Anolis sagrei: one gene and its partners. The protein of the gene in region 1 purifies or fractionates together with the protein of each later gene. This does not show direct contact. Links are inferred from orthologs where the notes say so. Each region holds a gene or a part of one and is shown on either strand. Other genes may lie near its edges.

Region 1 (7,112 bases):
AGGTCTTTAACCTTCTCTGCCAAATAATGCTGGTCCCTCACCAAACAACGAATGCCAGGAATCCGTAGCATTGAGCCATGGCTATTAAAGTGGCATCAAATTGCATTCATTCTGCAGTGTATATGCACCCTTCGTTAAATAAGTCCTGAGTTTGCAGGACTTGTGCAGAGCTAATAATGACAAAGTGTCTTGAAGGGTTCTGATTTGTAGAATTGCCAGTCAAATCCAACTTAACATTTAAAAAACAAAGATGTAAAGTTAACACAGTCCTAAAGCAATTCCTGGAGCTTAATATATGAAGTCTATGGGTTGTGTCACTTCTTTTTAGCACCCCTCTTTCCTAACGTTATCATTATAAAAACCGTTATAAAGCTGGCATCTCTATTAGAAACGTGGCTTTGGTTAAGCACAAGGTCAGGTCTACCATATATCCTGCAATTGTTTTGGGTCCCAATCTTATTATCACTGACCACCAACTTGCTGGCTGGAGTTTATGGATGTTATAGTCTAAATTGTTTGGATGAAATCTCATTAGGGACAGTCATTGAAGAACTCTAATGGAAGAACTAACTCTTTCTTAAGTCATTGTCAGTTCCAAAAACAGAAGATGGATGCAACTATACCAGGCATGGACAAACTTTGGCCCTCCAGGTGTTTTGGAGTTCAACTTCTATAATTCCTAATGGCTGGTAGGCTGTTACGAATTGTAGGAGTTGAAATCCAAAACACCTGGAGGGGTGAAGTTTGCCCATGTCTGAACTATACAATCAACCTGTAGCAGGGAGAATATTCACTAGCTTTTTCGTCTCAAGTGCTATGTCTTGTGCACATCATAGCCACACACTCCTCCCATCCCAATAGTCTTTGCAATAGAAGCCCATGGAAACTGAGAGTGGTGGTGGTGGGGGGGGGGGAGCAATAGAGGCCCCCAGAGCTTGGACCACAACTTTCCAAATCTGGGAAATGTAGTCCAAAATATTAATTTCCCCAAGTTTCTCTCTTACCCATTTTGGAGGCTGCTGCCCCCAATAAAGCCAAAGCGATCTGTCTGGCGATAAGGAGGCATCCCATTCAGCTCAGAGTCAGAGCCCAGGGAGCTGGCATCGTCCCGCAGGGAGAAATCAAAAGCATCTGGTAGTCCAGCCAAAGCTTGGTTTACATTGTCCTCAGGAAGCTCTGCTGAAAGAGAGGGGTCCGACATATTCCCCTTCAAATCTTACTTGTAGACCCTACTGCTGACAGGTCCTTTATTTCATGCCACCTGCTGAGGCCTGGGCATCACCTCTGAGCCGAGCAATACCTTGCACCCATGACTATGCCCCTTGTTGCTGCTGCTGTGACTGAGTTCCCCACACGCTCTGCAAGCCATTTCCTCCCGCAACCATTTCCTGATGCAAGGGACGGTAGTAGTAAAGAAAGCAAAGGGGGTGGGGAGCATGACACAGTGGAAGAGAGCAGAAAACAACTCCCCAAAAAGAAAACACAGGATAACTACCCACAATGCTTTCCAGAAGGGGTTGCACACAAGGAGACCCCACCAGATGTTGTCTCTGAGTTCACAGGTGCTGGGGAAGAATCAACAGGTAGATGGTGTCATCTCTTCCCATCTCTTCCCATCGGCACAAGCTGCACTCTGTATCATCCTTCTGGAGCACGACCTTGGTGTAGGTATTATTTACTCATTAGATTTCTATCTAGCCCTCTGCCCTTCTTCCTTCCTTCTGTTTTGGACTATATTTTGGACTATATTTTCTTGGTAAATAGAACAAATACAACAACAAAACTGCAATCAACGACAGAAAAAGGAGACTTCATGAAACAATCAAAAACCCCATCTGAATCAGCCAGATATCCCTTTGCAAACAGATATCTTAGCACCTTTGAGACTGAAAGACAATGGAAGCATAACCTTAAAAAGCTACATCTACTACATATATTTGGGCTATGAAAGCTGATAATAACATCTTTTTCTCTCAGTCTCAAGATGCTACTATAAACCCCAGCAACTACAACGCCCAAATGACAAAATCAAATTTTTTTGGGTGAAGGACCTACATTGGGTTGTTAGGTGTCTTGTGTCCAAATGTGGTGTCAATTCGTGCAGTGGTTTTTGAGTTCTGTTAATCCCACAAACAAACATTACATTTTTATTTATATAGATTCATAACAGTAGCAAAATTAGTTATGAAGTAGCAATGAAAATAATGTTATGGTTGAGGGTCAACACAACATCAGGAAGTGTATTATGTACGCTTTGATCTTCGGGCAAGGCCAGGCCCGTATCCAGGATTTCGATTCGGGGGGGGGGGGGGAGCTGAGTTTGTTTCGGGGGGCGGGGCTGAATCTGAGTGAAAGAGGGTCTACCCTAGCAAACCTTTTGTATCGTTACCCCAATACCCCCATGTATATGGGATATATTGAGCATGATGATCAGATAATGATATGAATAAACATAACAGTTTAAATAATGCACCTTTTTGCGAACCACCATGAGAATTTCGGGGGGGGGGGGGGCTGAAGCCCCTCAAGCCCCCCCCCCCCCCCGGCTTCATGCTTGGGCAAGGCCCCCTTTTGCCCTTGCCAGTCTCTCAGACTCGCCTTGTGGGTACAAGGGAGAGAGCCTTCTCCTCTGTGGCTCTGGAATTCACTGCCCGGAGAGATTAGGAAAGCCCCTACCTTGGAAACTTTAAAAAAAGTCTTAAGATCTGGCTCTGCCGTTGCGCTTTTGAAGAGTAGCCATATAATTTTATGCTAGCGCTCCTCCAATGTTCTTATCTCAGGAGTCCCCCCCCCCCCCCCCTACGAATGTTGGCTTAATTTCCTATCTCTCTCTGAGTTCACCCTTACAATTAGTTCTGCCCCCTTATCTCACCCGGAGTTTTTAAATCATTTTATGTACATGCGACCCGCCCTTTGTTTGTCTGTCATTATGCTTAGTTCCTATGTTTTGTGTATATTGTTTTATATGCTTTGATGTTTTATATTTTACTGTTATGTTGTTTATTTGATTGCAATTTGTATTGTTATATTGTAATTTTTGTTCGGGCTGGGTCCCATGTAAGCCTCTCCGAGTCCCCTTTGGGGAGATGGTGGCGGGGTATAAATGTTTATTATTATTATCATGAGGAGACAGCAAAGCCTAGAGAAGACAATGATGCTGGGGAAAGTGGAAGGCAAAAGAAAGAGGGGCCGACCAAGGGCAAGATGGATGGATGGCATCCTTGAAGTGACTGGACTGACCTTGAAGGAGCTGGGGGTGGTGACGGCCGACAGGGAGCTCTGGCGTGGGCTGGTCCATGAGGTCACGAAGAGTCGGAGACGACTGAACGAATGAACAACAATTATTATTATTATTATTATTATTATTATTATTCGCAATAAAAATAATGTTATGGTTGAGGGTCACCACAACATCAGGAAGTGTATTGAGGGGCCAGGGCATTAGGAAGGTTGAGAACAACTTATCTACTCTGTAGAATGAACGCAGTTTGGCACCACTTTAACCGCCATGCCGCCATGCTATGGAATGGTGGGAGTTTGGTGAGGCAGAGACAGCAGAAGACCTTGCAAAACCACAACTCCTATGACTCCTATGATGGGTTTGCCTTAGGGTCCCCATCAGCTGACTCAAAGGCGCCCTGCAACAACCACATGGTTTCTGAATGACACACAGAGTGAATCATCTCTATCCAGGTTGAAAACACATTCCAAAATGGGGCTGGCAACCTTCTGGCCCAGGGCCAGGTGTGGTGCTCAGCCTGGTCCTATATTTCTTTACACCGTGTAGATCAGGCGCAGGTAAATTTTGGCCCTCCAGGTGTTTTGGACTTCAACTCCCAGCCTTCCTCACAGCCTCAGGCCCTTCCCCCCCCCCCCCCCCAGCCGCTTAAGGAAAGGGCCTGAGGCTGTGAGGAAGGCTGGGAGTTGAATTCCAAAACACCTGGAGGGCCCAGGTTTGCCTGTGTCTCTGTTTCCTTGTGTTGGGAGGAAGCGGAGAGAGAGAATGCTGGCGCAATCGCAGGAAAGCCTTGCTCCCTCCAGCCAGTAGGAGGAGGTGGTTGGCAGAGTAGGAGCAGCAGGAGCAAGAGCAGCAGCGTCACTCCTTTCCACTTCCTCCCTCCTTCTCTTCCTTCTCTTCCTTCTTCCCTCGCTTCGGCTGCGGAGGCTCTTCGGCGAGAAGGAGGCGCGGACGGAAAGCTTTGCCCTTGCCTTTTCCCCGGCCGCTCCCTCTTTCCCAGGAAACAGCAGCAAGGAAGGAAAGAAAGAAGGCAGGAAGGAAGGCTCAGTCTCAGCCCCGAGACGCTCCTCTCCCGCCATGTCGGACGGCGAGAAGCTCAACCTGGACTCCATCATCGGGCGCCTCTTGGAAGGTGAGCACTGAGCAGCCGCCTTGTCCCTCCCCCAAAGCCCCGTCTCCACTGGATATTTAATGCGGATCCAAGCTCGCTTTCCAACTGCGGCGGCCTGGGAACAAGCTCCCACCCGCGAGAGAAAGGAAGCCCTTCCTGCGCGCGCACACACACACACACCAGTCCCTTTGGGTCTGTCTGTCTGTCTGTCTCTCTCTCTCTCTCTCTCTCTCTTGTAGGAAGCCCATACTTTGGTGCGCGGTCTCTTCTTTCCATTGGGTTGTGCCTTCCTTCCTTCCTTCTTTCCTGTCTTCTTCCCCATGGCGGGCAGTCAAACTGGTTCCAGGATTTTCCTCCTATGGAGTCGTGTCTCTACACTTTCTTCCATACCGGTTTGAAACGCCACTCAAGACCTCATCACACTAGAGAATGAATCCACATTGAACCCGGTTTCTGCTTCCTGCAGAATTCTGGGGTTTGTAGTTTAGGGAGGAGCTTTTAACAGCCTCACTAAACTACAAACTCTAGAATTCTGCAGGAGCCAGAAACCGGATTTTAAGTGGATTCATTCTCAAGTGTGATAAGTGTATTTGGGGCCTCGGATTGGGGGAGTTTTCCAGGCCAAAGGGAAACGAAAAGGGCGCCTCATCCTCTTCCAAAAGAAGGAGAAAGGGAGACAGACGTTCCCCTTTGTTGCGGTGTGTCTATACTGCAGGGTTAATGCAGTTTGACCCCCCTTTAACCGCTCAAGGCTCAGTGGTTTGGAATCCTGGGAGTCCTCGCTTGGAAAAGGCCATATTTATCAGCTTCATCCGCCCCCTGAATGGGCCCCAAAAGGTGGAGGGGGGGGCACACATTCCCCTTGTTGTGGTGCCTCTACACTGCAGGGTTAACGCAGTTTGACCTCGCTTTAACCGCTCAGGGCTCAGTGGTTTGGAATCCTAGGAGTTCTCGCTTGAAAAGGCCATATTTATCAGCTTCATCCGCCCCCTGAATGGGCCCCCAAAGGTGGAGAGGCGGGGGCAGACATTCCCCTTGTTGTGGTGCCTCTACACTGCAGGGTTAACGCAATTTGATCCCGCTTTAGCCGACCAGGGCTCAGTGGTTTGGAATCTTGGGAGTCCTCGCTTGAAAAGGCCATATTTATCAGCTTCATCCGCCCCCTGAATGTGCCCCAAAAGGGGGAGAGGCGGAGGCAGACATTCTCCTTGTTGTTGTGCCTCTGCACTGCAGGGTTAACGCAGTTTGACCCCGCTTTAACCGCCCATGGCGCAATGGTTTGGAATTCTGGGAGTCGTCGCTTGCAAAAGGCCTTTCTCAGCTTCCTCTGCCAAGGAGTGCCTCGCGGCACGACCAGTCCTAGGATTCCAGAGCCACTGCAGTTAAAAGTGGGATCAAACTGGATTCATTCTACAATGTAGATCGATGCATCCATTTTGGGGGGAGGGCGAGGAGAGTTTTGAGTATGGGTGAAGCTTCCTTTAAGACTCCCACCTTTAGGCACAGAAAGCAGAGGCGGTTTGGGGGGATTTGGGCGTGGAGGCGGCCCTCTTCATCGCTTAGGGAAACATCATGGCTCTGGGGAAGAAGGGGCTGCTGCGTATTACGCATCTATGGGAATGGGTGCATCTACACAGAGGAGTGCATGCGGTGTGGCCCCAGCTTAACCAATGCTTTGGAGTGTTAAGGAGTCGCAGTTTGGCGAGGCGGCAGTCGCCCTCTTTGGCAGAGAAGCCCAAAGGCCTGGTGAGATCCCCAGGGTCCCCAAGCCTTAAGGCGAGCCGGAAGTGGGCGGGTACACTCCCTCTGTCCTCCAGCCAGGGGCCCCTTTAAGGGGGCTGCCCCTAGCCAAAGCGCCCCCCCCCCCGGACAAGTTTGCACTCCAGGAGGGCTTCACAGGAAGAATGGAAGAGAGGAGGGCGACTAAAGTGATCAAGGGTCTGGAGAACAAACCCTATGAAGAGCGGCTTAAAGAGCTGGGCATGTTTAGCTTGCAGAAGAGAAGCCTGATAGGAGATATGATGAGAGCCATGGATAAATTTGTGAGGCGAAGTCATAGGGAGGAGGGAGCAAGCTTGTTTTCTGCTTCCTTGGAGACTAGGACGCGGAACAATGGCTTCAAACTACAGGAAAGGAGATTCCACCTGAACATTAGGAAGAACTTCCTGACTGTGAGAGCCGTTCAGCAGTGGAACTCTCTGCCGCAGAGTGTGGTGAAGGCTCCATTTTCGGAGGCTTTTAAACAGAGGGTGGATGGCCATCTGTCGGGGGTGTTTTGAATGCAATTTTCCTGCTTCTTGGCAGGGGGTTGGACTGGGTGGCCCATGAGGTTTCTTCCAACTCTATGATTCTATGAAAAGAAAGTAAGATAGCCTTCTGTGCCATAGAGTAGCTGCCTATAATATTCAGGTGTTCTTTAAACTTAACTAAAATTGCCATTAATAATAGGAAGTTGCTTCAAAAAATATAGTTAACATGGTAACTAGTTAACATCTAAAGTTAATTAATTAATTAATTGATTGACTTAATTTATTTTATGGTGCTTTCTGAGCCATCCAGTTCATGCTTCTTCTGCCTGCAGGAAAAAAAAACACAATCAAAACACTCCTGACAGATGGCCATCCACCCAATGCTGAAAAACCCCTAGAGAAGGAAACTCCGCCACACCCTCAGGTTGCAGCATATTCCACTATTACCGCCAGGAAGCTCTTCCTGATGTTTATTTAGGTGGAATACCTTTTCCTGCAATTTGAATCCATTGCT
Region 2 (7,698 bases), on another chromosome or scaffold:
TTGTAGACTTCCAGGAGAAAAGAAGGAGTTCAGGTTGCTGTGATGGCTGGCTGAAGTCCCTCAGCAGAGGAGCTGTAAGGCTGTATGATCCTCGGCCAAGCTGTGGGGCTGTATAACCCCGGCCAAGCTGTAGGCTGTATATCTCCCCGGCCAAGCCGTAGAAGACTAAGCTTTCTACAGGAGCTCTTGGTTTTATGTCCTGTGTGAAAGGCTTCTCTGTGTGGACTGACTAAAATGGTTCCTCTCTCTTCCCAAAAATCCAGAAAAAGGGGCGGAACCAAAGCTAAATGAAGATGGACAGGGGGCTTGCCCTATGACTGCAAACTATAACAGGAAGCCACCCTGCTGCAAAATCCCAAGCCTGGGATTGCAAACAAACATTTAATTCAAAGCAAATAAAATTGGAGCTCCTGGAACAGCTGTTCCAGAACACCCATTGTAATGTTGTTTTTAACTAGTGTAATCTATATAAATAAAAATACAGTTAGTTTGTAGGATTAACATAACTCAAAAACCACTGGATGAATGAGTGAGGCCAATGAGTGAGCATTGCTCATAAAAACACTGAAAAACACAGCAGAAGGGACTTAAAGAGCCAAAAAAGCAAAAAGATGCTACAGTGCATGTGCAAAAACAACTCCCTTGGCAAACAAAACACACAATAGTATATCCACACTCTCTTCCATACTACAGCTCCCAGTATCACCTAGACCAGGCCCTTTAGGAGAGGAGGATGATCCAAATGCACTGCTTCCTAGATGTAAGCTTGCTTCTTGGATTTCTTTGAGAGCATCCCAATCCTTGCATATTTCCAATTTCCTATTCCTGGACTGCAACTCCCAGCAATCCTCCAGATAGATAGGAAAGGTTCTCAACCTTCCTAATGCCATGACCCTTTAATATAGTTCCTCATGTTGTGGTGACCCCCAGCCATAAAATTATTTTTGTTGCTACTTCATAAATGTGATTTTGCTACTGTTATGAATCGTAATGTAAATATCACATATGCAGGATGTATTTTATTCACTAGACCAAATTTGGCACAAATACCCAATATGCCCAAATTTGAATGCTGGTGGGGTTGGGGAGGGATTGGTTTTGTTATTTGAGAGTTGTAGTTGCTGGAATTTATAGTTCATCTACAATCAAAGAGCATTCTGAATTCTACCAACAATGGCATTGAACCAAACTTGGCACACAGAACTCCCATGACCAACAGAAAATACTGGAAGGGTTTGGTGGACGTTGACCTTGTGTTTTGGAGTTGTAGTTCACCTACACCCAGAGAGCACTGGAGACTCAAACAATGATGGATCTGGACCAAACTTGGCACAAATACTCAATATGCCCAAATGTGAACCCTGGTGGAGTTTGTGGAAAATAGATCTTGACATTTGGGAGTTGTCATTGCTGGGATTTATAGTTCACCTACAATCAAAGAGCGTTCTGAACCCCACCAACGACAGAATTGGGCCAAACTTCCCACAGAGAACTCCCATGACCAACAGAAAATACTGTGTTTTCCTGGTGGTCTTTGGCGACCCCTCTGACGCCCCCTCGCGACCCACCCAAGGGTCCTGACCCCCAGGTTGAGAAACGCTGGATTAGATAGAGATAAGTAGGTAGGTAGGTAAGTAGGTAGGTAGGTAGATGGATCAGGAGGACTGCTGGGAGTTGCAGTCCAGGAATAGGTAGAAAAGGAAGAAAGGGGAGAAAGGGGAAGGAAAAGAAAAGGGAGGGAAAGGAAGGGAAGAGAAGGAAGAAAGGAGAGAAGGAAAGAATAAAAGGGAAGGAGGGAAGGTTGTATTCAGTATTATTACATTCTGTGTTTTTCTTTACATTTGTATTTTTTGTGTCTCAGTTTTGGGAGAAAGAAATGACATAAATCAAGCCCAATCAAATAAAAAATAAATAAATCAGAACATGTGATTGTTAGCCCACAAAAAGCCATTTTTGTTTTACAAAATCTGTTAAATAAACGTAGAAATAATGAGAGAGCCTGCAGGTTAATGGGAGTAAACAAGGCTGGGAAATCTGATACAAGACGTACCTCCGTTCCACTCCCACGACTCATAATCCATTATGAAAAAGATGCCAAACTTGATAGAAGGATGAATGTGTAGATGAATATAACATGTCTGATTTCACTGGGGTTATTCCCGTTCCTCAACTGAAGGACCGCAAGCACTTGAGGAAAATCAACATTAAATTCCGACTAGATTTGAGGTTTTGGGAAGCCATAGGAAATGTTGATTTCAAAGTGCACTTTCTAGTTGCTTTCACCTAAAGTTATATAATGACGACTGATCTTGTATATATTTTAGAAAGAAGTTTACAGGACACAAGGCTCCTGGCATAATAACTCTCAATGCTTTGCTATTACAATTCAGGCTGCAAATTTGGGGTGTTATGAAAGAGGCATTTGTACTTCCAGAGACGGGGAGATCCTGGGATTTTCCGCCTCCCCTTTGAAACCACCTCAATTTTAGTTCTCTGCACCATGAATTAGAGCAGTATTTCTCAACCTGGAGGTCACAAGGGGGTTTCAGAGGGGTAGCCAAAGGCCATCAGAAAACATATACTTCTGATGGTCTTAGGAACCCCTTTGGCAGAGGAGGCTGAAGATCTCTCCACTTGCCCTTCTCTTCCTTTTTGGAAACAGACCGTGAATCCTCCCATCAGCTGGCCTCTCAGCCAAGGGGAGGGCTGTTTCTGAAACTCTGAGCAGGGAGAAGAGAGCAGGTGTGCTCGGCACATAGCACCATAGTAAACATGTGTAGGCGAGGGAGAGCACGTGAGGCTGGAAGGCAGGCTCGCACCAGCAAGTCCCTTCAAGACATGGGGGTTCTGTGTGGGAAATTTGGCCCAATTCTATCGTTGGCCATCTGTCGGGGATGCTTTGAATGCGATTTTCCTGATTCTTGGCTGAATGGGGTTGGACTGGATGGCCCACGAAATGTCTTCCAACTCTAGGATTCTATGAGTTGAAGTCCAAAACATCTGGAGAGAAGAGCCAAATTTGCCCACCCCTGCTTTAAAGGAAGGCCTGCTTTAATATTTCATTTCAATGGGTAACTTCCTGACTGTGATAGCTGTTCAGCAGTGGAACTCTGCCCCGGAGTGTGGTGGAGGCTCCTTCTTTGGAGGCTTTGAAACAGAGGCTGGATGGCCATCTGTCGGGGGTGGTTTGAATGCAATTTCCCTCCTTCTTGGCAGAATGGGGTTGGACTGGATGGCTCACGAGGTCCCTTCCAACTCTAGGATTCTAACTTCTGGACTGTGAGAGCTGTTCAGCTGTGGAACTCTCCGTCCTGGAGTGTGGTGGCGGCTCCTTCTTTGGAGGCTTTTAAACAGAGGCTGGACGGCCATCTGTCGGGGGTGCTTTGAATGCGATTTTCCTGCTTCTTGGCCAAATGGGGTTGGACTGGATGGCCCACGAGGTCTTTTCCAACTGGAGCAATGGCTTCCAACTACAAGAAAGGAGATTCCATCTGAACATGAGGAAGAACTTCCTGACTGTTAGAGCTGTTCAGCAGTGGAACTCTCTGCCCCGGAGTGTGGTGGAAGCTCCTTCTTTGGAGGCTTTTAAGCAGAGGCTGGATGGCCATCTGTCAGGGGTGCTTTGAATGAGAGTTTCCTGCTTCTTGGCAGAATGGGGTTGGACTGGATGGCTCACGAGGTCTTTTACAACTGGAGCAATGGCTTCAAACTACAAGAAAGGAGATTCCATCTGAACATGAGGAAGAACTTCCTGACTGTGAGAGCTGTTCAACAGTGGAACTCTCTGCCCCGGAGTGTGGTGGAGGCTCCTTTTTTGGAGGCTTTTAAACAGAGGCTAGATGGCCATCTGTCGGGTGTGGTTTGAATGCGATTTTCCTGCTTCTTGGCCAAATGAGGTTGGACTTGATCGCCCACGAAGTCTCTTCCAATTCTATGATTCTAACTGACTGTGAGAGCTGTTCAGCAGTGGAACTCTCTGCCTCAGTGTGGTGGAGGAGCCTTCTTTGGAGCTGTTAAGCAGAGGCTGAATGGCCATCTGTCAGGGGGGATTTGAATGCGATTTTCCTTCTTCTTGGCAGAATGGGGTTGAACTGGATGGCCCACCAGGTGTCTTCCAATTCTATGATTCTAACTGACTGCGAGAGCTGTTCAGAAGTGGAACTCTCTGCCTCAGAGTGTGGTGGAGGCTCCTTCTTTGGAGGCTGTTAAGCAGAGGCTGGATGGCCATCTGTCAGGGGGGATTTGAATGCGATTTCCTGCTTCTTGGCCAAATGGGGAGTGTGGTGGAGGCTCCTTCTTTGGAGGCTGTTAAGCAGAGGTTGGATGGCCATCTGTCAGGGGCGATTTGAATGTAATTTTCCTTCTTCTTGGCAGAATGGGGTTGGACTGGATGGCCTCTTCCCTGAGGTCTCTTCCAACTCTAGGGTTCTATGAGTTGAGTCCAAAACACCCGTTTGAAAGGAAGGCCTGCTGTAATATTTCCTTTCAACTGGTAGGAATTGTGGGAGTTGGAGGCCTTTTGAGGCCTGAGGAGGCGCCAAAATGGCGTCCTTGTGTTTTGGACTTCATCTCCCAGAAGCCCTAGTGCTGGAACGACGCGGCTGAGGCTCATGGGGGTTGTAGGCAGAATAAGGAGGAGGAGGAGGCGGGGAAGAAGGGGGCGTGCCTGTCTCCCCGCTCTTCCTCCCAGAAGGCAGCGCGGCGCCTGGCTGGGCCTAGGAGGAGAAGGACGAAGAGAAGCCTCGGCATTTCCTGAGCGCGGCGTCGGCGAGGCCTGGCTCGGGATGCGAGTGTGAGATGCGTCTTCCACCGGCGGCGGCTCTCGGCTGGGCCCCCTCGGCGCCCTCCATGAAGCTCCGGAGCCGGCGCTTGGCCCTCCACAAACACTTCTATAGGACTCAGGCGCCTTGCTGAAGAGGAGACAGAGACAGAAGAGGAGCCCCTTGGAGTGGAGAGAAGCCGAGGACAACTGCGGGAAAAAGGGCCCAAAGGAGCCCCAGAGACAGGCCTCCCTCCTCTTCAGAGGGAGAAGGAGGAGGAGGAGGAGGCCATGGAGGGCCCCGGGAATCAGTGGGGCCGCGTGAGGGAGCAGCACGGCCAGGTAAAGAGGAGAAGGAGCGGGAAAAAGGCAGCGAGGAGAGGCAGGACCTTGTCAGTGGTGGCCCCTCGCTTGTGGAACTCCCCTCCCTAGCGACATCACAGCAGCCCCCCTCCCTAATTAAGAGGAGGAGAAGGAGCAGGAAAAAGGCAGGGAGGAGAGGCAGGGCCTTCTCTGTGGTGGCCCCTTGGTTGTGGAACTCCCCTCCCTAGCGACGTCACAGCAGCCCCCTCCCTAATTAAGAGGACGAGGAGGAGATGGAGCGGGGAAAAGGCAGGGAGGAGAGGCAGGGCCTTCTTTGTGTTGGCTCCTCGGTTGTGTAACTCCCTCCCTAGCGACGTCACAGAAGGCCCCTCCCAAATTAAGAGGACGAGGAGGAGAAGGAGCGGGAAAAAGGAAGGGAGGAAAGGTAGGGCCTTCTCAGTGGTGGCCCCTCGGTTGTGGAACTCCCCTTCCTAGCAACGTCACAGCAGGCCCCCCTCCCTAATTAGCCTTCAGGAAAAAGGAGGAGGAGAAGGAGCGGGAAAAATGCAGGGAGAAGAGGCAGGGCCTTCTCTGTGGTGGCCCCTCAGTTGTGGAACTCCCCTTCCTAGCGACGTCACAGCAGCCCCCTCCCTAATTAAGAGGACGAGGAGAAGGAGGAGCGGGAAAAAGGCAGGGAGGAGAGGCAGGGCCTTCTCAGTGGTGGCCCCTCGGTTGTGGAACTCGAGGAGGAGAAAGAGCGGGGAAAAGGCAGGGAGGAGAGGCAGGGCCTTCTTTGTGTTGGCTCCTCGGTTGTGGAACTCCCTCCCTAGCGACGTCACAGCAGCCCCCTCCCTAATTAAGAGGACGAGGAGGAGAAGGAGCGGGGAAAAGGCAGGGAGGAGAGGCAGGGCCTTCTTTGTGTTGGCTCCTCGGTTGTGGAACTCCCTCCCTAGCGACGTCATAGCAGCCCCCTCCCTATTGAAGAGATCGAGGAGGAGAAGGAGCAGAAAAAAGGCAGGGAGGAGAGGCAGGGCCTTCTCAGTGGTGGCCCCTCGGTTGTGGAACTCCCTAGCGACGTCACAGCAGCCCCCCTCCCTAAATAAGAGGACGAGGAGGAGGACATGTTTCATTGCACTATCTATATAAATAAAAATGCAATGTTCATTTATGGGATTAACATAACTCAAAAACCACTGGACGAATTGACACCAAATTTGGACACAAAACACCTCTCAGGCCAACAAGTGACCATCACTCATAAAAACACTGAAAAACACAGGGGAATAGACTCAAAATGCTAAAAATTAAAGAAAATGCATACCAGCGCATGCACAAAACCACATTTATACACATATACACACACATATACACAGACTGGGCTACAGCAACGCCTGGCAGGGGATGGCTAGTGTATATATATGTGTGTGCGTGTGTGCATATGTAGATGTGTATCTATGTGTATATATTTGTGTGTTTATATGTGTATATGTATACTGTGTATATGTGTGTGCTTGTCTATATGCATAATTGTGTGTATTTATGCGTGTATGTATGTGCATACATGTGTATATGTATATATATATGTGTGTGTATGTATATGTATGTGTGTGTATATTTGTGTGTGCTTGGGTGTATATATATATATATATATATATATACACACACACAAATATACACGTGTGTGTATGTATGTGTGTATGCGTATAGGATTGTATGTATATATGGTGTATTTTGGGGGGTTTAAGTCCATTCTACTGGGAAGGGGGTGTTTTTAGGGGTGATGAACACTCGTTGGACTGTTAGGTATATTTTGTCAAAATTTTGTGTCAAGTCGTCCAGTGGTTTCTGAGTTATGTTAATCCCACAAACTAACATTACATTTTTATTTATATAGCTTAAAATAATAATAATAATAATAATAATAATAATAGTAAATTTTATTTATACCCCGCCACCATCTCCCCCAAAGGGGACTTGGGGCAGCTTCCATGAGGCCAAGCCCGATAATACATAACAGCAAAATGAATACAAAACAAAAATATCATCACAATAAAATAAGTAAAACATAAGAGTAAAATAAAACAGTGCAAAATAAGAAGATGAAAAATCAAACACAATAGGCGGGCCAAATGTAAGACATAAAATGATAAAACACTGGATGAGATAAGAGTGGAAAAAGGTATATATGTAAGGGAGGAGCTAATAATCATAATAGGAGCTAATAATAATAATAATATTACCAACAGCTGCATAAGACCACCATACTGGGATCTGCACACATTATTCGCCGATACATCACACAGTCCTAGACACTTGCGGAGTGTTCGACTTGTGATTCTATACAACAGCCAGCAGAGTGAGCTTGTTTGTTGTGGACTCATCTTGTTGTGCTTCTAATAATAATAATAATAATACATTATTTATACCCTGCCACCATCTCCCCGGAAGGGACCCGGGGCGGCTGACATGAGGCCAAGCCCAAAGATACAATACAGCAAAATAAAATACAAAACAACAAAAATTACATCAGAATAAAATACATACAGTAGCACAATAAAATAAATGAAGCCAAATAACATAATGGAAAATCAAACACAATGGGCGGGCCAAATGCACAAGATAAAATGATAAAATCC
Region 3 (7,021 bases), about 85 Mb from region 1:
ATTGCCCTATTTCTGCAGTATGCCTATGTTTACAAAAAATGCTGATTGAGAAATCAGTGCTCCAGAGAAGAAGTTACTATTCAAGGATAACAGTACATCCGTTCCAACTAGCTGGTGGCTAGTTAGAACTCCCAAGTTTCCCAGTAGCTCTGGAGTCATGTTGGCAACCGACTAACAGATAAATTGATTCATTAAGACAGTCATGGTCAGAGAACAATGGACTATAGTTCTTCTATAGTTGTGGCATTGTTAGGATCCCACGTGTGCTATTATGTCAATCAAAATCATAAACCACCAATGAGGAACCATCGAGCTATCTTAGACCAATGAAATTATTTGTCTTTGGGAACCAATGAGAATGTACGTGCCAAAAATGATAAAAACCCTGCAGTCCCAATGGAATTGCGACAAACCCTTTGATTGCATTCCTGTATGCTTCTTTGTCGATATTGCTAGGCCCGCAATAAAGCTTTTGTAGTAAGAATCCAACTTATGGCTACATTGGGCCAATGAGTGGACTCATAAGCTTGTGCATTTGGAGTGTCCCTGCATCTATGTCCCTTCACTTCCACACAGCTCTTTATCCCAGAATATTAAAGCAGAAAACTCCACAATATCTGCTTTGAAATTGGGATATCTGAGTTCACACTTGGATAAAGTGGGATTTTCTGCCTTGATGTTCTGGGATATAGAGCCCTTAGGGAAGTTTTCAAAGGATGACTTCATCTATATAAATAAAAATGTAATGTCCGTTTGTGGGATTAACATAACTCAAAAACCACTGGGGGAATTGGCACCAAATTTGGACACAAGACACCTAACAACCCAATGTATGTCCTTCACTCAAAAAATTGATTTTATCATTTGGGAGTTGTAGTTGCTGGGAATTATAGTTCACCTACAATCAAAGAGCATGCTGAACTCCACCAATGATGGAATTGAACCGAACATAGTACATAGGACTCCCATGATCAACACAAAACACTAGAAGGGTTTGGTGGGCATTGACCTTGAGTTTGGGAGTTGTAGTTCACCAATATCCAGAGCGCACTGTGGACTGAAACAATGATGGATCTGGACCAAACTTGGCATGAATATTCCATATGCCCAAATATGAACACAGATGGAATTTGGGGGAAATTAACATTGCCATTTGGGAGTTGTCGCTACTGGGATTTATAGTTCACTTACAATCAAAGAGCATTCTGAACTCCACCAATGATGGAATTTAACCCAACGTGGCACACAGGACTCCCATGACCAACAGAAAACCCTAGAAGGGTTTGGTGGGCACTGACCTTGACTTTGCGAGATGTTGTTCACCAACATCCAGAGAGAACGGTGGACTCAAGCAATGATGGGTCTGGACCAAACTTGGCATGAATATTCCATATGCCCAAATATGAACGCAGATGGAGTTTGGGGAAAATAAACCTTGCCATTTGGGAGTTGTAGCTGCTGGGATTTATAGTTCACCTACAATCAAAGAGCATTCTCAACCCCACCAATGACAGAATTAGGGCAAACTTCCTACACAGAACCCCCATGACCAACAGAAAATACTTAAGGCCATCCAGTCCAACTCCCTTCACCAGGGCAAGAAAACGTAATCAAAGTGCCACCCAGCCATAGATATTGATAGATAGATATGATTCACACACACACACACACACAGATATAGTATCATAGATTTAAAAGGAACCCCTAAAGAAGGACAATGATATGTTGCATATTCCAGAGTAGGCAAACCAGACAATCTCCACATCAACACTGACAAAGAAACAGCAAGAAATACTGTTTACCCACAAGCATAAAGAAATTAGATATTAGAAACCAACACTTTCTCATTACTTTATTTTCCAGATCACCAGACTAGGCCACAGCAATGCGGGGCAGGGGACGGCTTGTGTTTAATATTTCCAAACTCTTAATATTACTTCAGGTCTCCAAAGGGCATGAGGAGCATCACATTTGGGAGTGAGTTGCTTTGTGTGGGATGTGGCAGTGTGGCATCTTAACCCTACACCACTGGAGAAATTACACTGTTTACCACCTGACATCCTGACATCCGCCAGGAAGTAGCAAACAATAGTGAAAGGACCAAGGCAGTGACATCTCCAGCTCATCCCGTTTGCATATCAGCCAGCACGTCAATGACTTAAATCAAGAAACAGTTTTCTAAGATCTACAGACACACTTGCTGGAACACCTCAGCAAGCGGGAGTCCAAAAGTGGCAGGCTCAAACCCAGAACCTCAATCAGTGGCTGATACCAAATGAGAGACTCCCCCCCTGGGCGACTTGGAAGGCACTGAACAGACTGCGCTCTGGCACCACGGGATGCAGAGCCAACCTCAAGAAATGGGGCTACAAAGTGGAATCCACGACATGCGAGTGTGGAGAGGAGCAAACCACAGACCACCTGCTGCAATGCATCCTGAGCCCTGCTACATGCACCATGGAGGACCTTCTTGCAGCAACACCAGAGGAACTCCAAGTGGCCAGATACTGGTCAAAGGACATTTAATCAACTATCAAGTTTGCAAACTTTGTGTTTTGTTTGTTTGTCTGTTTGTTAAAAAATGCAATCCAGCTGTTTGGTCTGCTCCTAACACGATTTATTTATTTGTCGTGTCAGGGTAACCAGTCAATTGTATTACATTTCTAACAGAACAAAACAAACAAACAAACAGACAAAATACAAAATTTGCGAGTTTGATAGTTGATTAAATGTCCTTTGACCAGTATCTGGCCACTTGGAGTGCCTCTGGTGTTGCTGCAAAAAGCTCCTCCATTGTGCTTGTAGCAGGGCTCAGGTTGCATTGCAGCAGGTGGTCAGTGATTTGCTCTTCTCCACACTCGCATGTCGAGGATTCCATTTTGTGGCCCCATTTCTTGAGGTTGGCTCTGCATCTCGTGGTGCCAGAGCGCAGTCTGTTCAGCGCCTTCCAAGTCACCCAGTCCTCTGTGTGCCCAGGGGGGGGGGGAGTCTCTCATTTGGTAACATCCATTGGTTGAGGTTCTGGGTTTGAGCCTGCCACTTTCGAGCTCTCGCTTGCTGAGGTGTTCCAGCGAGTGTCTCTGTAGATCTTAGAAAACTATGTCTAGATTTAAGTTGTGATAATGCCGCGATAATGCGGCATGTCGGCATGTCTCATTAAGAGCCACATCCACTGTTTTAATGTGGTGAGATGTGTTCCACACTGGGCATGCATACTCAGCAGCAGAGTAGCATAGCACAAGGGCAGATGTCTTCACTGTATCTGGTTGTGATCCCCAGGTTGTGCCAGTCAGCGTTCGTATGATATTGTTTCTAGCGCCCACTTTTTGCTTGATATCCAGGCAGTGCTTCTTGTAGGTAAGAGCACGGTCCAGAGTGACTCCCAGGTATTTGGGTGTGCTGCAATGCTCCAGTGGGATTCCTTCCCAGGTGATCTTCAGAGCTCGGGATGCTTCTCTGTTCTTGAGATGAAAGGCACATGTCTGTGTTTTGGATGGGTTAGGGATCAGCTGGTTTTCCCTGTAATAGGCGGTAAGGGCACCTAGAGCTTCAGAGAGCTTCTGTTCAACCATCTCAAAGCTCCCTGCTTGAGCAGTAATGGCACGATCATCAGCATAGATGAAACTCTGTCCCTTCTGGCGGTGGCTGGTCATAACATGATACACAGTGGCTGGTCCTAACACGATAAATAAATAAAAATTCTTAACCATAAGGTGCCCTTCCACACTGCCCTATATCCCTGAATATCAAGGCATAAAATCCCACAGTATCTGCTTTGAACTGGATTAGCTGAGTCTACACTGCCACTGTTCAAAGCAGAAAATGTGGGATTGTATTGAGCTGTGTGGAAGGGGAAACACGAGAAGGACAGTCCGGATTAAAGACAATCTTTCTTCTGTGACGAGCAAAAGCACTTTGAAAGGGGACAAGGAGGGAGATCCAAGTGCGCATGCGCAGGGGAAACGGCGCCCCCTCCCTTCCCCGCGCGGCAACGTTCTCTTCCGTCGGCTTCCGGTGACGGAGGGGACTGCGCGCGCAGCCTGAGGCCTGACTTCTTGCCTCGCAGCCGTTTGCCCGTCGCCTCAGCTGCGTTCTCGCCCTCTCTCGCCGCCAAGATGCCGCGGATTATGATCAAAGGGGGCGTGTGGCGCAACACCGAGGTAGGGAAAGCAGTCTCGAACCCGCCACGGCGTTCTCCTCCCGGGGGAGGGTTCTCTCACACGGCTGCGCCCAAAACAGGCTCTTTGCCGCGCTAGGCCAAGACCCTTCAGAGGCACCTCATAAGCCTCAGTCTTCACCCTCCTCAAAAGAAACCCAGTTGAGGCTGCAAGGGGGGGGGAGTACAGAAAAGGGGGTCCCTCCTCAGCATTAGGAAGAACTTCTTGACTGTAATATCTGTTCAGCAGTGGAACTCTCTGCGTCTGAGTGTCTTGGAAGCATAGAAACAGGCTGGATGGCCATCTGCCGGGGCTGCTTTGATTGTGCTTCTCCTGCATGGCAGAATGAGGGTGGATTAGAAGGCCCCTGGGGTCTCTTCCAATTTACGATTCTGTCATTTGCAGCTTTATTTCCTGCTAGTTTGGGTACTCAGCAATGCCCGTGTTATTATTTTATTATTATTATTATTTATTGTTTTTATACCCCGCTGCCATCTCCCGCAGGACTCGGTGTGGCTTACAAGAGGCCAAGCCCAACAACATCATAAAAAACAACAACAGCAAACGATAAATAACTCAAAAAAGCAAAACAATACAATAATGACACAACACATTTTAAAACATAAGGCAGGGCCAAATGTGAAAGTTTTAATAGTTAAAAGCTGGGAAGTTTAAAGGGGATAGGAGGAATGTTTTTGGAAAGGTGGACGTGCAGGCAGTTCTGGATCTCTCATAAAGTGCATTGAGGACATATTGCTAGGATTCCTTATTCTGGGAAGGCACACTGGAACATCCACGTTTTCAAGCTCCTTCTAAAGACTGCCAATGTTGGGGCCTGCCTGATGTCCCTGGGGAGGGAGTTCCAGAGTCGTGGGGCCACCACCGAGAAGGCCCCGTCCCTCTTCCCCACCAATCGCTCCTGTGAAACAGGTGGGATCATGAGCAGGGCCTCACCAGATGAATGAAGAGATCGTGTGAATTCTTATACAGAAATGCAGTCAGGAAAAAGGCTTTTTTTTTTTTTTGATTGTGAGGTAATATCAGTTTGGTCATTTGCAACGCTATTTATTGGGAGAAAAGACCGTCTTTCCTTTTTTTAGAAAATGCATCAAGATATGGGTGAACTACAGTTCCAAAAATCATAGCATTATTTTTTTAAAAATTAAGTTATTACGTTTGCCCCAGCCATAAGTTTTTAAATGCTTGTGTGTTGTTGTTTATTTTTTGTTTATGAGATTTATATTAACTGTTTTTGTATTGATTGTTTTGTTATTGCCTTTGTTTATTGATGTAATGGCTTGGCCTCATGTAAGCCGCACTGAGTCCCTTGGGGAGATGGTAGCAAGGTATAAATAAATTTTTATTATTATTTATTATTATAGGTCAATCACCCCCAACCCTCGCCAGTGTTCAGAATTGACCACGGTGGGTCTGCATGCCAAGTTTGGTCCAGATCCATCATCCATCTGGATATGGTTTTCACTGGATGTGGGTGAACTATAATTCTCGGATTCCAAGGTCATTAAGCCACAAACCTTGCCAGTATTCAAAGTTGGCTGTTTTGGGTCTGTGTGCCAAGTTTGTTCCAGATCCATCATCAGTGCAATTCAGAGTGCTTTCAGGATGCAAGGTGAACTACAACTCCCACCTGGATGGGTCAGTCCCCCCAAATCCCTCCAGTATGTTCTGTTGGTCACCAGAGTTCTGTGTGTCAAGTTTGGTCCAGATCTGTCATTGGTGGGATTGCAGTGGTCTCTGGAAGTGGGAGCCAATTGGAAGTTTGCCACAAACATACAGACCCACCCACATACATATACATACACTTTTATTATATAAATAGATTTGGGGAAATAGAGACCGCATTGAATCTTGAGTGTTATCTGCAAATTTGGTCACCTTATTCTCACTTTTAACTTTAGAGCATCTCTAAATAATAATAACAACACTTTATTTGTACCCCGCTACCATCTCCCCAAGGGACTTGGTGCGGCTTACATGAGGCCGAGCCCAAATACAACAATACAAGCAATAATAACAATACAAGCAATTAAAATAAAACAAAACATGGACAATAAAATAATGCAACATTAACAATAATCTCTAAACATAACAGACCTTTGAGAAATCCACAGGTCCCATTTTCTACAGGAATTGTTTAATGATATGATCTGTAAAACACCTGCAAATGTTTGGTTTGAGGTTTAGATGTGTTTGAAGCACGTTGACTTTAAGATCATCTGGGGAGGCCCTGCTCTTGATCCTGCCTTTATCACAGACGTGTTTGGCGGAGACAAGAGACATGACCTTCTCAGTGGTAGCCCCTCGGCTATGGAACGTCCTCCCCAGAGATATAAGATCAGCTCCCTTCTAATATTCTGCAAAATGGTTAAGACCTGGCTGTTCGAGCAGGCTTTTACTACTGGAGCATGATTAGATGAAAATGTATCATGGAATGTCTGATGATGCAATTGGATCACGATTTCAGTAAGGAGATGTTGAGGACTTATTTTTATAAATATTATGGTTTTTATATTTTTAATGTTGAACTGTTTTATAACTTTTTAAATAATTGTTTTTAACTGTATATCCTGTTATTATGGTATCGAGTTGCTGCCGATTGTGAACCGTCTTGACTTGCCCTTGGCTGAGAAAGACGGTATAAAAACCCAGTAAATTAATTAAATAAATAAATAAAATTGTGTTACTCTTAATTAATTAGTACTTAATTTATTATTTATTTATTTTCAGTATTTGTATACCGCTTTTCTCATTCCGAGGGGGACTCAAAGCGGTTTAGACATAAATAATGGCAAAAATTCAATGCCAATACAAACAATTACAATTATACACTACAATTAGACATA
Region 4 (7,278 bases), on another chromosome or scaffold:
ATAACAAATACAACAATAAATAAACTCATAAAACAAGCAATAAACATTAAAACAATAGCAATAAACATTAGACATTAACACCATGACACATTTAAAAACTAAGGCCGGGCCAAATGTAATGATTAAAATTTTAAAATTCTGAACATGACAGGTGAGATGGATTGGTTTTTGGAGATAGGTGCGGTGTGCAGACAATCTTAAATCTCTAGTAAAGTGCATTTGGGACATGATGCTATTCTGGGAAGGCACACTGGAACAACCACATCTTCAAGCTCTTCCTAAAGACTGCCAATGTTGGGGCTTGTCTGATATCCTTAGGGAGAGAGTTCCAGAGTCGGGGGGCCACCACGGGGAAGGCCCTGTCCCTCGTCCCCACCAATTGCGCTTGCGACGCAGGTGGGATTGTGAGCAGGGCCTCACCAGATGATCGGAGAGATCGTGTGGGTTCATAAACGGAGATGTGGTCACGCAGGTAGGCGGGTCCCAAACCATTTAGGGCTTTGTAGGTAAGCACCTGCACCTTGAATTGGGTCCGGAAAATGAACGGCAGCCAGCCAATGGAGCTCCTTAAACAGGAGGGTTGACCTCTCTCTGTAAGGAGCACCAGTTAACAACCTGGCCGCAGCCCGTTGGACCAGTTGAAATTTCCGGGCGGTTTTCAAGGGCAGCCCCACGTAGAGCGCATTACAGTAATCCAATCTGGAGGGACTCTTGATTTTTTTCCCATCTCATAGACTTAGCATGGGGATTTGGTTAACCAGTTAACATTCATGAGTAAACCAGGTTTTTTTTAACCTGAAATTTCAAGCAAAAAGTGGATGCTAGAAACAATATCATACGAAAGCTGACTGGCACAACCTGGGGATCACAACCAGATACAGTGAAGACATGTGCCCTTGCGCTGTGCTACTCTGCTGCTGAGTACGCATGCCCAGTGTGGAACACATCTCACCACACTAAAACAGTGGATGTGGCTCTTAATGAGACATGTCGCATTATCACGGGGTGTCTGCGCCCTACACCACTGGAGAAATTACATAGCTTAGCCAGTATTGCACCACCTGACATCTGCCGGGAAGTAGCAGCCAATAGTGAAAGGACCAAGGCAGAGACATCTCCAGCTTATCCCTTGTTTGGGTATCAGCCAGCACGCCAACGACTTAAATCTAGACATAGTTTTCTAAGATCTACAGAGACACTCGCTGGAACACCTCAGCAAGCGCGAGTCCAAAAGTGGCAGGCCCAAACCCAGCACCTCAATCCATGGGTGATACCCAATGAGAGACTCCCTCCTGGGCACACAGAAGACTGGGCGACTTGGAAGGCGCTGAACAGACTGCGCTCTGGCACCACGAGATGCAGCGCCAACCTTCAGAAATGGGGCTACAAAGTGGAATCCTCGGCATGCGAGTGTGGAGAAGAGCAAACCACAGACCACCTGCTGCAATGCAACCTGAGCCCTGCTACATGCACAATGGAGGACCTTCTTGCAGCAACACTGGAAGCACTCCAAGTGGCCAGATACTGGTCAAAGGACATTTAACCAACTACCAAACTCACAAGATGTGTATTTTTCTGTCTGTTTGCTTTGTTCTGTTGTTGTTGTTCATTCGTTCAGTCGTCTCCGACTCTTCGTGACCTCATGGACCAGCCCACGCCAGAGCTCCCTGTCGGCCGTCACCACCCCCAGCTCCTTCAAGGTCAGTCCAGTCACTTCAAGGATGCCGTCCATCCATCTTGCCCTTGGTCGGCCCCTCTTCCTTTTGCCTTCCACTTTCCCTAGCATAATTGTCTTCTCCAGGCTTTGCTGTCTCCTCATGATGTGGCCAAAGTACTTCAACTTTGTCTCTAGTACCCTTCCTTCCAGTGAGCAGCCGGGCTTTATTTCCTGGAGGATGGACTGGTTGGATCTTCTCGCAGTCCAAGGCACTCTCAGCACTTTCCTCCAACACCACAGCTCAAAAGCATTGATCTTCCTTTGCTCAGCCTTCCCTAAGGTCCAGCTCTCACATCTGTAGGTGACTACAGGGAATACCATGGCTTTGACCAGGCGGATCTTTGTTGCCAGTCTGATGTCTCTACTCTTCACTATTTTATCGAGACTGGACATTGCTCTCCTCCCAAGAAGTTCTGTTCTGTTAGAAATGTAATATATAATGGACTGTAATGCTACCCCTCTATTCTGCTTTGGTTAGACCACATCTGGAATATTGTGTCCAATTCTGGGCACCACAATTCAAGAGAGATATTGACAAGCTGGAATGTGTCCAGAGGAGGGCGACTAAAATGATCAAGGGTCTAGAGAACAAGCCCTATGAGGAGCGGCTTAGGGAACTGGGCATGTTTAGCCTGAAGAAGAGAAGGCTGAGAGGAGATATGATAACCATGTATAAATATGTGAGAGGAAGCCACAGGGAGGAGGGAGCAAGCTTGTTTTCTGCTTCCTTGGAGACTAGGACGCGGAACAATGGCTTCAAACTACAAGAGAGGAGATTCCATCTGAACATGAGGAAGAACTTCCTGACTGTGAGAGGGCTTGACAAATGCAAGGCTGGGGTAAAAATTTCTGGAAGAAACATTAACAACTTTAGATATGCAGATGATACCACTTTGATGGCCGAAAGCGAGGAGGAGCTGGGGAGCCTTCTAATCAAGGTGAAAGAAGAAAGCGCAAAAACTGGGTTGCAGTTAAACATAAAAAAACAAAGATTATGGCAACAAGAATGATTGACAACTGGGAAATTGACGGGGGAAATGTAGAGGCAGTGACAGACTTTGTAGTTCTAGGAGCAAAGATTACTGCAGATGCAGACTGTAGCCAGAAAATCAGGAGACGCTTACTTCTTGGGAGGAGAGCAATGTCCAATCTCGATATGATAGTGAAAAGTAGAGACATCACACTGGCAACCAAGATCCGCATAGTTAAAGCAATGGTATTCCCCATAGTAACCTATGGATGTGAGAGCTGGACCACAGGGAAGGCTGAGCGAAGGAAGATAGATGCTTTTGAACTCTGGTGCTGGAGGAAAGTTCTGAGAGTGCCTTGGACAGTGAGAAGATCCAACCAGTCCATACTTCAGGAAATAAAGCCCAACCCAAACTACAAGAGAGGAGATTCCATCTGAACATTAGGAAGAACTTCCTGACTGTGAGAGCCGTTCAGCAGTGGAACTCTCTGCCCCGGAGTGTGGTGGAGGCTCCTTCTTTGGAAGCTTTTAAGCAGAGGCTGGATGGCCATCTTTCAGGGGTGATTTGAATGCAATATTCCTGCTTCTTGGCAGGGGGTTGGACTGGATGGCCCATGAGGTCTCTTCCAACTCTTTGATTCTATGACTGGTTGCTCTGACACGACAAATAAATACCTGAAATTTGGGGGGGGGGGGGGGGTTGAATCCCTAACACCTCCCCCCCCCCTCCCCCAGTTACAGGCCTGACTGTTAAGAACCAGCATATGACATCTGCGTCCTCAGAGCCAACTGCATTCAGGGCTACCAGGCCTAGCCAAGCAGAGGCCTGCCTTGTCCCTCATGGGCGGGGCGGGGCTGGGCGGGGCCGGGCTTTGCCAGGAGCCAAGGCCTCAGCCAGTCCCCATTTCAGTTCAACCAGGGTAACTCAAAGGGCCGGCCCCTTTGCCACTGGGTTCAGGCCACTTGACCCAATGGGCCCTGAGATAACAATAAACCAGGGGCAGCCCATCCTCACGGGCCGGGCTCCCACTGCTTCCCCTCCGCAGGAAGGCGGGCGGGCGCGCGAGGCGCCCCTCCCTGCCTCCCTCAGAGGCGAGGCGCGCGACCCGCGGGGGGGGGGGGAGGGGCAGCCTGGAGGCACCTGCGCCTCTGAGGAGGGCTCCCCTCACGCCGCGGAGCATTGGCAACGAGGAGCCAATCAGAAGTGGCGCTTCTCTTCACCACCCCCCTCCCTCCCTGCCTCCGCCCGGAACCATGCCCGCATCAAGCTGACTCCTTCTTTTCCCTTCTCCGCTGAGCCTGGCTGGCGACATGGGGCGGAGGAGGGCGGCTCTTCCTGGGTCCAAGCCCCGCCTCCTTTGCCTCAGCTCTTCTTCGGCCCTGTCCTTCCATCGTGGGAAACGTCGGGTCGCCCCATTGTTCCTTCCTAGAGACAATTTAGGGACAGAGCCTTCCTATTGGATGCCGGAAGGGAAGGGGTGGACGGTTCGGGTTTTTTTCCCCTCCTATGATTGGCTGCAAACGCCGTGCCGGGGGGGGGGGGGGAAGGGGGGCGGGCCCTGCGCAGAAGAAACCTTTCTGATTGGGCCGCCGATCGCACTCGGGTTCGGCCAGGCTCGGGTGTTCGGCTTGGCGTTCACGGAGGGCGCTTAGCGAGATTGCGTAAGCCTTGGCTTGAAAGAGAGAGAGAGCGCGAGCGAGGGCCGCAGCGCTCCCTGAAGGCCTGGCGGAAGGCTGCTCTATCCTCGCGCCACCTTGCGCCTCCTTTTCGCGAGGGAGCGCGCGCAAGACCGCAACGGCCCCTCTGCTTCCACCACCACCACCACGCCGCAGCGGACAAAGGAACTCGGGCGGAGAGGCGGGGCCGCGCGCGGGCAGGCGGGAGGGAGAGAGGGAGGAGCCCCTGACGCCGCCCACAGAAGCAGCAGCAGGAGAGAGAGAGAGAGAGAGAGGGAGTGAGGGGAAGAGGAGGAGGGGAAGAGAGGGAGGGAAAGAGGAGGAGGAGGAGGAGACTCGCGCCCCGCCGCCATGGCCGGCCCCGCCGCTCTCGTTGTCCTCCAGCCGCACTGCAGCGCCCTCCGCCTCAGCCGCCCCTCCTCGCCCGCCGCGGGGACGCCATGAGCCGCCGCCGCAGCAGCAACAGCAGCAGCACCGCCAGCACCAGGAAGAAAGGGAGCCAGGCCTGAGGAGGGAGGAGCCGCCCGCTGCCAGGCCGCCGCCCCGCGCCCTTTCGCCTCCCCAGCCGCTTCCTGCTCTCTCTCTCTCTCTCCTTCCTTCCTTCCCTTCCTCCCACCACAGCTCCCCCCCGCCCTTTAATTGAGGCGCTAGTGCTCTTCCGCCGGGAGAAATAGTCCCTGCCTCCACGCTGAGGGAAGGAAGAAGGGCCCACTCTCTCTCATTTTCTCTCTCTCTTCCTCCTGTGACTGGCTGCCGGGGAAGGAAGGCCTTCTCGACGCCGCTTCCGCTCTTTCCAAGGAGGAGGATGGCGGGCCCCCGGTGAGGCCTGAGAGAGAGAACGAGGCGTGCCCCTTTCCTCCCTTCCATCCCTTCCTTCCTCTTCGAGAGCGGGGGAAGGGCGGGCCCCGGCTCTGCATGCCCTGCCCGCCTTCCTCGCTCGCCACCTGAGGGCCCGGCAAGGAGCGCAGCAGCAGGAAGAGGAGGAGGAAGGGCAGGAGGCCGGGAGCGGAGGGAAGGCAGCCACCATGTCGGGCCGGCCCAGGACCACCTCCTTCGCCGAGAGCTGCAAGCCCGTGCAGCAGCCCTCCGCCTTCGGCAGCATGAAAGTCAGCCGTGAGTACACACAGGCCTCGGAAGGGGGAGGCCTTCCTTCCTTCCTTCCTTCCTTGCCTCTCCCTCGCCCCCCTCCCCTCTTTGATTCACAATCAGCCCCTTGAGGACGTGGCCGTCAGATGCCGGCCTGCCTGCCTTTGGCTCTCTCTCTTTCTCTGGCCTGCCATTTCCCCGCCCGTTCACGGCCCCATTTCAGAAGCAGTGAGTCAGGGAAATCCTTCAGTGCTTCTCAACCTTGGGTCCCCAGATGTTTTTGCCCTCCAACTCCCAGAAATCCCAGCCAGTTGTTAGGATTTCAAGGAATTGTAGGCCAAAAACATCTGGGGACCCCAGGTTGATAACCTCTAATGCAGTGGTTCTCAACCTTGGGTCCCCAGATTTGTTTGGTCTCCAACTCCCAGAAATCCCAGCCAGTCTACCAGCTGTTAGGATTTCTGGGAGCTGAAGGCCAAAAACATCTGGGGACCCCAAGTTGAGAACCACTAATGCGTGGTTCTCAACCTGGGGTCCCCAAATGTGTTTGGCCTACAATTCCCAGTAATCCCAGCCAGTTTACCAGCTGTTAGGATTTCTGGGAATTGTAGGCCAAAAACATCTGGGGACCCCAGGTTGATAACCACTAATGCAGTGGTTCTCAACCTTGGGTCCCCAGATGTGTTTGGCCTACAATTCCCAGTAACCCCAGCCAGTTTACCAGCTGTTAGGATTTCTGGGAATTGTAGGCCAAAAACATCTGGGGACCCCAGGTTGAGAACCACTGCACTAATGGATGGTGGCCTCAGCTTGACGGAATCAGTCGCCTTTCTGAGGCGCGGCCTGTGGGCTCATTTCATTCCAGAGAGAGAGAGAGGTACCTGCCTGCTTACCGAGATGTGGAAAATTACTGACTTAGTTATGCATGCTGTTGAGGAGGTTTTAATGGGCTATCCCATTATGCATACATTGGGAGATGGGCGGTACAGAGAAAGTCATTTATTATAATTTATAATAATAATAATAATACTTTTCCTAACTCCAACAGACCTCACTACCTCTGAGGATGCTTGCCATAGATGCAGGCGAAACGTCAGGAGAAAATGCCTCTAGAACATGGCCATATAGCCCGAAAAACCCACAAGAACCTAATAATAATAATAATGTATCTGTGTTGTTTCTATTGGCCTAAGGCGGTCCCTATAGGAAAAGGCGGTCCCCTATAGGAAAAATAATCTGTACCCAAAGTGTGGTCGATTGTACAAATCTTTACATTTTGGTTAAAAACCTTCTGTGAAACTGACCTCACTATCTCTGAGGATGCTTGCCATAGATGCAGGCGAAACGTCAGGAGAGAATGCCTCTAGAACATGGCCATATAGCCCGAAAAAACCTACAACAACCCTGTCACAGAGATATTTGCTTAAAATCCCCTCCAATGGAGTCACAGCTCGATATAGGTTTCTTTTAAGGATTGTTGCTGCCAGTTGGAAACGTGGCAGCATTTCAACCCATTTATTTCTCAGATATGTTCAGCCTGAATTAAAGATTGGATCGGACTGGATGGCAAGAAGCCTGCAGAATGTGTCATCCTCCAAGCTAAGCATTACCTGTCAGCCAGGTGTCAGTCTCCTCCCCATTTCTTTGAAGTACCAAGTGTCTCTGCCACAAATTCAGTATTATTTATTTATTTCGAGCATTTCTACCCCATCCTTCTCAACCCCCGAAGGGGGACTCAGAACGGCTTACATTTGGCACAATTTGGCATTTTGACATTTGGCACATTTGGCATCCATATCCAAAGCACTATTTATGCCTACTGTCCAAA

What was found.
Region 2: the proteins of PPP1CA (region 1) and URI1 purify together in Homo sapiens (affinity purification with mass spectrometry; 7 studies listed by BioGRID and IntAct, counting the BioPlex papers as one, with this or other methods). This does not show direct contact. The link is inferred for Anolis sagrei from reciprocal best matches to the Homo sapiens genes PPP1CA and URI1.
Region 3: the proteins of PPP1CA (region 1) and CDC5L purify together in Homo sapiens (affinity purification with mass spectrometry; 3 studies listed by BioGRID and IntAct, with this or other methods). This does not show direct contact. The link is inferred for Anolis sagrei from reciprocal best matches to the Homo sapiens genes PPP1CA and CDC5L.
Region 4: the proteins of PPP1CA (region 1) and GSK3B purify together in Homo sapiens (affinity purification with mass spectrometry; 4 studies listed by BioGRID and IntAct, with this or other methods). This does not show direct contact. The link is inferred for Anolis sagrei from reciprocal best matches to the Homo sapiens genes PPP1CA and GSK3B.

The regions. Positions count from the first base shown.
Region 1 is NC_090021.1:232,682,563-232,689,674, forward strand, and holds the start of PPP1CA (serine/threonine-protein phosphatase PP1-alpha catalytic subunit), read left to right. Parts: upstream 1-4,091; 5' UTR 4,092-4,315; coding exon 4,316-4,370; intron 4,371-7,112. UniProt on the Homo sapiens protein: Protein phosphatase that associates with over 200 regulatory proteins to form highly specific holoenzymes which dephosphorylate hundreds of biological targets.
Region 2 is NC_090028.1:40,036,983-40,044,680, forward strand, and holds the start of URI1 (unconventional prefoldin RPB5 interactor 1), read left to right. Parts: upstream 1-4,693; 5' UTR 4,694-5,050; coding exon 5,051-5,101; intron 5,102-7,698. UniProt on the Homo sapiens protein: Involved in gene transcription regulation. Acts as a transcriptional repressor in concert with the corepressor UXT to regulate androgen receptor (AR) transcription.
Region 3 is NC_090021.1:147,843,174-147,850,194, forward strand, and holds the start of CDC5L (cell division cycle 5-like protein), read left to right. Parts: upstream 1-4,015; 5' UTR 4,016-4,115; coding exon 4,116-4,160; intron 4,161-7,021.
Region 4 is NC_090022.1:165,868,103-165,875,380, forward strand, and holds the start of GSK3B (glycogen synthase kinase-3 beta), read left to right. Parts: upstream 1-4,273; 5' UTR 4,274-5,389; coding exon 5,390-5,477; intron 5,478-7,278. UniProt on the Homo sapiens protein: Constitutively active protein kinase that acts as a negative regulator in the hormonal control of glucose homeostasis, Wnt signaling and regulation of transcription factors and microtubules, by phosphorylating and inactivating glycogen synthase (GYS1 or GYS2), EIF2B, CTNNB1/beta-catenin, APC, AXIN1, DPYSL2/CRMP2, JUN, NFATC1/NFATC, MAPT/TAU and MACF1.